Linked DNA regions of Schizosaccharomyces pombe. Changing the gene in region 1 together with any one later gene gives a genetic interaction. Each region holds a gene or a part of one and is shown on either strand. Other genes may lie near its edges.

What was found. Genes that interact genetically often act in the same process or in processes that back each other up.
Region 2: mutations in ada1 (region 1) and bmt2 together harm fitness less than expected from each alone (positive genetic interaction), as found in Schizosaccharomyces pombe (one large-scale study listed by BioGRID).

The regions. Positions count from the first base shown.
Region 1 is NC_003423.3:378,207-384,421, reverse strand, and holds ada1 (adenosine deaminase Ada1), read right to left. Parts: upstream 4,123-6,215; 5' UTR 4,033-4,122; coding exon 3,862-4,032; exon of another isoform or gene 3,799-3,861; coding exon 1,474-3,798; 3' UTR 1,122-1,473; downstream 1-1,121. Other genes in the region: chaperonin-containing T-complex delta subunit Cct4, read right to left, coding at 1-101; tim11 (F0-ATPase subunit E), read left to right, coding at 462-482, 548-719, 810-895; SPOM_SPBC106.03 (steroid dehydrogenase), read right to left, coding at 4,722-5,795. UniProt on the Schizosaccharomyces pombe protein: AMP deaminase plays a critical role in energy metabolism.
Region 2 is NC_003424.3:363,089-367,355, reverse strand, and holds bmt2 (rRNA (adenine) methyltransferase Bmt2), read right to left. Parts: upstream 1,912-4,267; 5' UTR 1,807-1,911; coding exon 994-1,806; 3' UTR 914-993; downstream 1-913. Other genes in the region: protein Vps55, read right to left, coding at 8-63, 167-251, 316-388, 465-483, 539-555; mug58 (glycerate kinase), read left to right, coding at 3,754-4,267.

The DNA.
Region 1 (6,215 bases):
GCATCGGCGACTGAGCGAGCCGCCATAATATTTGAAAGCCGAACCTCTTGAGGCTTTTCTCGGTCTTGAAATGCCACGGGAACCGTTGCTGCTTTCGACATTGTGTTTGGTGAAGGAGAGCAACTCTACTTCGTTTGCTTTACCTTGGGACTTCTTCGTGCACTGTAAACTACTGTACTCGAAGTTTTGTTATTGTATACAATTTAATGTGTCGTAACGTGTTAATGCTATCTTTGTTTTCGAAATGGATCAAGCACTGGTAGCAGCTTCAATACCGCGGAGTAATTAAGAATACGGTAAAGCGTTTGCTGAAATATTTTAAAAAAACCTTTATTAGAATGTTAAACTAATACTAAACGTTGCACTATTCGTGTTAAGTGTTTAGAGTTCGATTGTGCTCGGATGCAAAATGAACTTGAACACTCCCCACTCTTTTACAAAAGTGATATAACGCTCTAAAAATGAATTCCATAAACGTAAAGGTATCCTCTAATGAATTAGTTTCACGAAATATCCATGTGTATTTTTAACCATCTCTAACGAATAGACATTACGCTGGTCAGCCCTCGTCCTTGGCTTAGGTGCTGGAATGTACGAGCATAGGAGTCATATTCAATGTCAAAAGCAGAAGGAGATTGATGAGAACTATCACCGACAAGAATCCTTGATTGAATCTGCCAAAATTGCATATCTCAATACTAAAAACACTCCTCCTAAAGGTTAGTTTCTTTGCATCTCAACGAGTTTAACGAACTTTGGCGGGTGCAATAGTACTCATTTTTTTTTCGCTTTACTAATACTCAATTTAGAAGACTCTATGTTGCCTAATTTGAAGAAAGATTCAGAAGATTTCGATATGGATGAATTTGTCAAAGAACTTGAAAAAAATGTTTAAATTCATCCTCTTGAACCACGAATGGGTAACCCTTATCACACTACAAATCGATATACTAAACTAGTTTGTTTATTTTTGTGTGCACTTTTGGTGCGATTAGTATTTGCTGATTGTCCGCGTCAACTGATTAATCAATTTAACGTTTTGCTTAAGTTATTACTAAATTCGAATTGTAACATGGTAACTTATCTTACTTTACTCACTTTATTATAATGAAGATGATCCACATGATTTGTTTTTTTGAGAATTAATTCTCTATAAGTATTCCATTAAATAGACTTGTAAGCTTTTTTCATACCATTTTAGTTCACATGGATATCATTATCTATTTAAATATGTATAGTAAACATTCATTCCAAAAAAAAAAAAAGACAGGAAAGAAAAGGAGGTAATATATATGTTATATATATTTTTATGGGTTATTTAACATAACAAGAACAAATATCGTTCTAAAACAGAATGCACAATTATCAAAGGTATCAAAGGTATATTGCCTTCCCCAAATGTTTCAATACATCAAAGTTGCATGAAAAAAAAAGCAAAAGTAAAATAAACGAAAGCGGTTCATAATAGAAACCTTAATCTTTCAAATCTTGGCTACTGCTAGCCATGCTATCCTTACGTCGACGACGCTCTGAAATCACACTTAGTCCAGGGAAAAAGGCACCATGGTCATGACCATCATGAAGAGACAATCTACTGCTTATTGTAGCGTCGTTCGTACGAGGAGAAGCCGACAAAGGGTCGCTAGTACCAGTCATAGCATCATATTTATGGATCAATTCCTCCAAATCATGGTTTGAAGGGTGCTTGGATGGTTGGACATGCTTGTTCACTAACGCAATTTCTTGTGTCAAAGTCAAAGCACGATAAGCCAGGCGAATTATAGGTACATTAGTACGATCAATATCCTGAAAATCAACACCCAACCAACGTTCTTTAAGCTGACGTTCGAAACCGGATTGTAAAACACTGTTTCTAGCCAATTCGCACATATCGACAGCAGAGAGCTTATAAATTTGTGCGGCTACAGCATATTCCTCAATCAGAGGCTCTCGGGTAAATGCAAATTGTAAAGGATCATCAGTGGAAAGACTAACATTAAGACCTCGTTTGAAGTACGTCAAAAATGGATTCTTATCATATGCAAGAAACAGTGCATTGTTTGATAATGGAGACATTGCGATAGGGATCTGATCAAGGTACCAAAGATACTGAAGAAAAGGAACTTTTCGTAATAAAATACCATGGTTAATACCGTGACTTAATAAGAAAGCACTGGCCAAATGATCCGTATCTCCAGCTTCACCACAATGAGGACGAAGGACAAAGGTGTTAAAACCACGTATTTTTCTCCAGCTATTCAAGCTAGTCATGTTGGCATACATGTAATATAACCAATAACTATATGGAGGATTTAAATTAATATCCCAATGTTTCGGATAAGGGAATTTGCGAAAGGTACGGCGTTCAGGTTTACTTTCGTCGTCAACAGAGTCAAACCCGATAACACGTTGCAAAAACACGTGGAGTTTAGGATGTGTACGAGGATCCTTTGTAACTTCGAACAGTGGTTCAAAGACATTTCTGACGACCTCTTCAAAAGTCTCAACAATACCGGACTTCTTATACACATCATACAAACGAGGTACTTGAATAAGCCAACGAACGTTGGGAGAAAAAAGTTCGTTATCAATAATCCAGGCTGCAAGCTTATCCCATTCTTCACGATTCCGTCCATAGATAGAAATACGATATTCAGCCATTTGGTACTTTTGAGTTCTAAGGTCGGTGAACACCTCTTTGGTAAGTTCAGCAAGATATCGACCGTTAATATCATTATCGGTTTTCAGGAAAATAGTACGCAAACGAGATTCACCAATTGGATTATATTTCAAGTTAAATTTGTCAAATCGGTGAAAGGTGTCAGTATGAGCATGCATATCCAACGTGTCTATACTAAGGTCATACGAAGTCAACTTCAACGAATCAAATACTTCTTGTAAAGTCAGGAATTTGCCATCACGCCAGATAACTTTTTCATTAGGGCATTTACGAAGTTTAGCTTTGATAAATCGCAAGAGATGTTTTTGATTCGCAAGAGCAGAATGATGGACGTGAGTATCTACCTTACGTACATTGTAAAAATCACGATGGGGTACTTTTTTGGTATCTGCCAGCTCTTGATACTCGTTTAGCAGCATATACATATTCCAGCGTCCTTCTAGATACTGCAATCTACGGAAGGAAAATGATTTACTAGGACCATCCGATGAAGCCGAAAGAAGGAATTCTAAATCTATATAATAATCGCGGATAGTAGGAATATGAAAAGACGGTGTCCCCGCAATGTATGCGCTGTCATTCTCATAAACTTGAAATATACCTTGATGATCCATGTGATATTCCATTTCATTTTCAATTCCAGGAATTTTGCAATCAGCAAAATTAAACAAGCCCGTATCATCTTCACCTTCTTTGCAATCAGGGTATATAATCCATGAATCATCGTCAATGGGATTGTCAAGCTCACCCTGTAAGCTCACCCTAATATATTTGTGTCGCATGTCCATACATTTATGGATTGACAAATAAATTTCTGCCAATTCATCAGAGAAAAGAGGGTCAGTCGTTTCCATGTTTCCTGGATCGGTTTCAGGGCCACCAACACTAGAAACTACAGCATTGTCTCCCTGCTGCACATGGGGCATATGAATGCTACTTATTTTGCTTTGAAGCGTATCATTCAAAAGCTTTCCACTTCCAGGACCAGCTTTACTATGGTTTACATCATCACTATTCCTTACTGTGCTAGCCGAGACTGATGGTCGTCTTGGGCTTTTAGAGGGCAGTCCATCCCGACCGTTTTGTGTTCCATTCATAGCCAGAAATTTAGCATCTTGCTAGGTTATGGTTAGTTAAACACGTAATATATCGAATTGGGGGGTTTTCACTTAAATACTTACATGTCTTAAAGAGCGCTCATAAGCATAATCAAAATAAGGAGTGTCTTGAGACGAAGGCGCTGCTGCAACTTCTTCGTCTCGATTAGCACCAGGATTCGTTACATATCGTTTTAAAGGAACAGTTTCAGCTGCAACAGCTGGGACTTGATCATCTTCTTGTTCCATGTTCATTTCAGCTCTAAAAATTAGAATAAAAAAGAATCCCAAAAATTGGCCTCTTCAAGAAGAATGCGACGAAAACAACACCTTTTTGAGAGGAGCGCGTGCACTTGCGGGTGAAGAGCCGTTTATATACGGAAGTAAACCACATAGTGAGAGAGGACGTACAGACATTATGTTGTTTAACGAAATAGAGCGATGATTTATTGAGGCAAACAAAATTAAGGGCAATTGAAATGTTTAGAATTCTGGCCAAACTGAATTTGTTTAAATCGAATGATTTTTAATATTTTCATTCAATAAATTAAAGAGAAAATTGACACTCATTTTACGAGTAACTTTTGTTTTTACGGTTTCAGTAGCGATCAATATACATCCTATCTTTTGTATCACTTGCACATTTAAGTAGACAATACAATTTGAAATCGAAATTGTAGCAATAGTACGAACGGTAAAATAACCTATAAACCATTTTACTTAAGTTCGCTCTGAGGAAAAGAGCTTAACAGTTACTAGATTTCGCTTTACACCTCGAGCGTAAAAAAAATAGAAACAAAAATAATTGAAAAAACTCAAGCAAAAGATATGGATATCAATGACATCTTTTCATAGCATCATTATCATTATACCAAACCATGATAGACATGGGATGAGTTCAATTTGACAAGGAAACAGAGAGAACTGAGGCTCCATACAAGTATTTAGCTGCGCTTAATAAGACTGCAGGAAAAGAAGTGAAATTTTCCAAACAAGGAGAAAATCCCATCAATAACACACGTAGGAAGGAACCGTGATACTGTGACCATGAAAAAGGTGCGACAACCAACATGGCGAGTTGGAGAGGGCCAGCAACCAAGCAAGGAGTCAAAAATTTTGTTTAGAACCTTACGTTCCGTACACAACGAAGGAGGATAATTGCTTTTACCTGGAGAGCTAGAATGATCGTAATTCAAAAAGCTGAGATTTCCAAGTTTGATACAAATAACCTGTAAGCCCGTTTCACGCTTGAGAGTGCGCAAGAAAGTTTCAATGGAAGAAGAAAGAATAGATGGAACAGCATAATTGGGAGGCTCATAAGCGGATAATATACCATGAGACAAGCCAATGATTCTGGCCTTTTGACTTTTCAAAAGAGGAATCATTCGAGAAACGTTAGAGAAAGATTCACTGAGTTGTTGAAAAGCACTGATCCAAGCATCTTTTCCAATGTTCTCAATTGGAGTGTACAAAGAATCTCCTGTGGGAACGAGAATAAGACCACGTAGGCGCAAAGCATACTCCTTAGGGCCAGATTGATTGGAAAAAGACAAAAGGAAGCGTTCAACAGCCTCATTATGAGTAACAATCAAAGATTGAATGTAAGGGCGTTGTTGGAGAGAAACAGTAGCTGCTTCAGATGCATCGCGAACAAGAACAACGACGATAAAACCACGACGATCCAAATCGTGAGCAATTACTGAGGCGAGAGGGTTCCACGCAGATAAGACAACAACTTGGGTTTTTTGGTGGTTGGGTGCACGTGGAGCACGACGCTTGCGTACATAATCATAGCGTTTGTAATAGGATAATCCAGCAAGGAACAAAGCGGCCGATCCTAAGCCAACTGATACTCTATTTTGATAAAGAAATTCTCCCAATCTTCCCTTGGCACTGTTTGTAGTATGAACTGTAACAGGTTGAGGGTTACTAGTTTTTTCATGAGCATAGTCAATGATTCGCTTGCCGTAATCCTTAACATTAGAGACTAAATCGGCAGCCCAGCGTTCAGGATTCATTTTTTAATGTTATTCTACCTTTTTGATATGATAATTCGTTTTCGTAGCAATTGGATTAGATTTCCAGGCAAAAAAACACTTCAATTTTCTCCCTGATATAATGTTTGAAGAAGGAAACAATGCAGGATGAAATTGAAAAATATTTAGCAATTTCAACAATAAATACTATCACTTGAGGAATTCACAAGTAATACTTCAAAAAGCTAAAGAATTCTAAAACTTGGAATTAATGAAGTGGTGAGTGGTGGTTGAGAACAGGTCGCGAATATTGGAAAACACCATGATGTCGTGCTAACTTGATCCTAAATCGCAATTCTATTTTATGGCAGTAAAGATGATTCAAATCGAATGCAAGTTTTAATATTGAAAGTTTATCGAAGTTAATCTCACATCAGGCTAATAGGAAGCTATGTTGCTAAA
Region 2 (4,267 bases), on another chromosome or scaffold:
TACATACCAAACCCGGTACAGATGGTTGCACCGAATGTAAATCGACCAAAGTCAAGAAGATTTCTTTAGTAAACGTTAGTAGAGCTCCTTACAAATAATAATGAAAAATAACAATTATGGTTGAAATAATTTCCCCAGAACAACCAACATTATTATATTTCCATACCTGTCTTCCTCTTGTAAAAAGTCATGGCTTGTCGAGTATTTTTTCGTAAGGAGATTAGGAAGAGGAGCTAAAATGAATGGAATGACTATTCATTAGTAATTCGTAAGCAATGTAAATGAAATAGTTCTCAACGGTTGACAAAATCATACCAATTAGCAGTGGATACCAATTCTTGAATAAAGCACAAGACAGGATCACCAGCATAAATCCTACTGCCAGGACCTTAATAATATAAGTTAGACTCGTTTAAAATGGAATTGATGTCTAGCTCGAGTAGGAGTCATTGAGCGATGCATACCGAAGAAAGACCGATAATTCTAATTGGTGACAAACGTTAACCTTTGCTTTTTCATATTAACAAAAATTACTTACTTCCTGAGGTCGGACATATTTAATTACTATCGTTCACGAATATATACTGCAAGCTAAAGTTTACTGCTTTTGAGAAGAGAGACTTCGATGATTACCAGCTACTTCACCTAAAAAGGGTACGCTCCATTACGTTATACAGATGTGTTCTGTATGCATAGAACACAGAGCGGTGCACAAGATTTGTAAACTTGGCAAATAAGTTTAAAAAGACATATAACGAAAATGACTTGTTACTATTTTTTACACCAATGATCGAGCTTTCGGCTCATTAGTAAAGTATCGCATACGAACAAACTCTGAAAAACGTACTTTGTAGCTACGTAAGTAAAGGCTAGTAATTGACATTAACAATACAATTAAAAAAAAGCAAGAGGATAACCGACAAAAAGCATTCATTTCATTAATTTAACTTTGAGATACTAGTAAAATAAATTTTGTATTGACAAATATCTTAATTAGAGTATACAGGGAATGAAGAAATTATTCCTAGTTGCCCCATCATTAACGATCTTCTTTTTCCAGTCTATTTCTTTCATAGGAAAACACTCGTAAGAATATAAATAGTAGGCTATTTTTTTCGATATAGACTTTTGACGACAGATAAATCCAAACTGTATCATAATTGAGTGTAATGTTTTTTCATCCATGTACCGAGAATTTGTTATGCAAGGCGAAGGCAAAACCAAAAATAACCAAGGAGGCTGTTCTTTATTAGGAGGCATTAACAATCCTGTACAATGTAATAACATTTTAGCTCGGAGTTCTGGAGGTGCAAAATTCAGCACAAGTGAACAACTTATCCCAGTAAAAAGTCCTTCTTCAGGAGTTCTTTCAAGAAAGTCCTGTTGTTTAATCAAGGGATGAACAGAATGCAAATCAATCCTTGAAACTCGGAAAAGTCCACAAGTTGAACATTTGTTGTCAACAGAAACACTGCCAATTTCCAACAAATCTTTCGGCTCCTTAAGACGTGCGCAATACGAAAAACAGGGAGTTGTCCGAATCCATTTTATCAATATTTTACTTGAATCCCCTCCTTTTCCTTCCGCTTGACCGGATCGACTAGCTCGTTGGTAAGCATCAATACCTATATTTTCGAGTTCACTTTCCACATTTTTTATTTTTTCAATCGGAGCACTTGACGCAATAAGTCGAGATTTCTCTTTTAACAGGTTATGATAATGACGAATAAGCTTATTCCCCTTCAGTCCCTTTGCATTATCAATGTTGTTTTTTCCAATGCGATTCTTCACTGGAATGGGACGCATTCAAATAGTGATAAAATATTTGTTAATCTCCCAGATGAAAATATAATTGTATTTACAGTAAATGGTTCATAAATGTAGTTTCCTAATTACTTGAAAAGTTTTTACGATGAAAGAAGTAGTGTCGCGTTACTTATAAAAATTCAGCACAAGAAGAGCTTGGACAATGTATGATAAATTCTTAATATGTAATTAAAGAGCGGTAATTTATGCAACCCTTTAACCATTACACAGAATATTAAACGGGTTTCCTTTTTTTATACGGTTTGTACTTTACAAGCACAAATCAACTTTTTTTATATTTGAAACAAAAATTTAAAGGCTTTGGGCTTCGAGGGGGATCGAACCCCTGACCACTTCGACCCAAACGAAGTATGCTACCACTACACCACGAAGCCTCAGTTGATATTGTGCTTTGAAAACTGTATATATAGTTATTAGATTTACTTGATTATTAACTAAACTTTTTCAATTGTTTTTAAAAAATAATCAAAATAAAGAAAACAACCGCCAAATATGGTAGAACTATAACATAAAAAAATTCGGATAAATAAACAGCCAATATCAACTTCTCTCTTAAATTGTTTTAAATGATTCCACTCATCAGTTACGTTACGATATAATTGATATAAGTTATTTTTAAAAGAAAGTAATAAATGTGTATAAATATGTATATACGACAGCTATTGAAAAGTATTTTGGTAAATTCTAAACTAACGATTTATATCTAGTGGAATTGGATAAGGGACTTTATTTATTATTTCTTAAATAAAATACATTTTAAAAAATAAAAAAAAATAAAAAAAGAAAAGAAAAGAATTTGGTGTACTACGGATTACCTTAAGTTTTTAAGTTAAACGGGTGAAGTGTAAGTATTTATGATATGAAAACCATAGAAACATTTTTGTATTTTTACTACTTACAGACGAATTCTAATTGTTTCACCAGACTATATACTATTAAAACAAATAAGTGCTTCAAAAATAATTATTGTAGATTAAATTTTCTTGATAACTCAAACTTGAGTAAATTAATTTTTTAGAGTATATGTTAAAAAAATAAATACTTTTAGTTTAATTAAACGTACAAAAAGTGTTAACAAACATTATGTACCTGTAAACAAAATGTAATAATTAAATATAAATAATATTTGTAACTGCGGCTGCTATCGCATTGGATGGGGGACTGATTGTTGTACATTTCAGCTAAACTTATTTTTACAAGTTACTTTATTTACTGACACAATAAATTGCGTGTTTTTTTTGGATTACTATAGAAAAAACACATACGTTAGCACTGGAATATTATTATTTAGCTATAAAAGTCGCAAGAGACAAGTATGACAATTTAAAGACAAAGTATAAAATGCATATTACCTAAATTCTTCAGCATTTGAGCTATACTGCATGGCATCAAGATTAAACAATTTAAAAGTTAGCCGTCATTGTAGAAAATATAACTACAGAAATTCTATTATCCCTGAAAATCCAGAGCATCACCAAATTTTATTATGTATCTTCTATTTACTTATAGGTAAAAACAAAACATTTACAGCGTTACAACTTTCCAAATAGTGAGGCGCAGTGAAGCCGTTTCCAAGTATTACAGAGTTTACGCAAGCATTCAGTATATTGGCACAAATGAGACGTAACGGAATGTTAGTGATACAACATCCCGTAACAAAACTTTGTTGGTAAAATCCAACCATTGCATAACGACTTTAGCCTTTTAAAAAGCTTTTTGTGTTTGTAGTCCTTTACTGGTAGTCGTTACGAAAGTATCTAGTCACTGTGGTACTTAACATTGAATTTTCATATAGCTACAGCACCTCGCTTTCTTTCACATTTCGAGTATTAGTCCTACGTCTTTCCTATACTTATGTTATTAAGTCGTTTTTAAGGGGAAGCTAGGTTTTGTATTTAATTTAAAAATTTTATATAGAAGTGGAATATGAGTTCGTTGGAAATCATTGTCGACAAAATTTTAAAATTCCTGGAAAAGCAGCCAAAACCTGAAGGTCGTCCTTTTATTCTTGGAATTTCCGGCCCTCAAGGATCTGGTAAAAGCACACTGGCAAGTGCTTTAGATACCGAATTAACAAGGAAGAACGAATCAGTTGTGAAGTTCTCACTTGACGACTTTTACCTCACGCACGCAGAACAAGTTGAATTGGCCAAAAATAATCCCAATAATCCTCTTGTTCAACATCGTGGTTTAGCTGGAACCCATGATGTCACATTTTTAAATAATGTTTTAAATGCATTTGTTAAGGGAAGCGATGAGGAGGTATCTATCCCTTTTTACGATAAATCCAAGTTTGGTGGCTACGGAGATAGGGGAGATGAATCCCAATGGAAAAAGGCAAATCCTAAAACAACTACCTATGTAATTTTTGAAGGATGGATGGTTGGGTTTGAGCCGCTCGATTCTTGCATGCTGTCTGTCCGAGCACGATCAACACGTT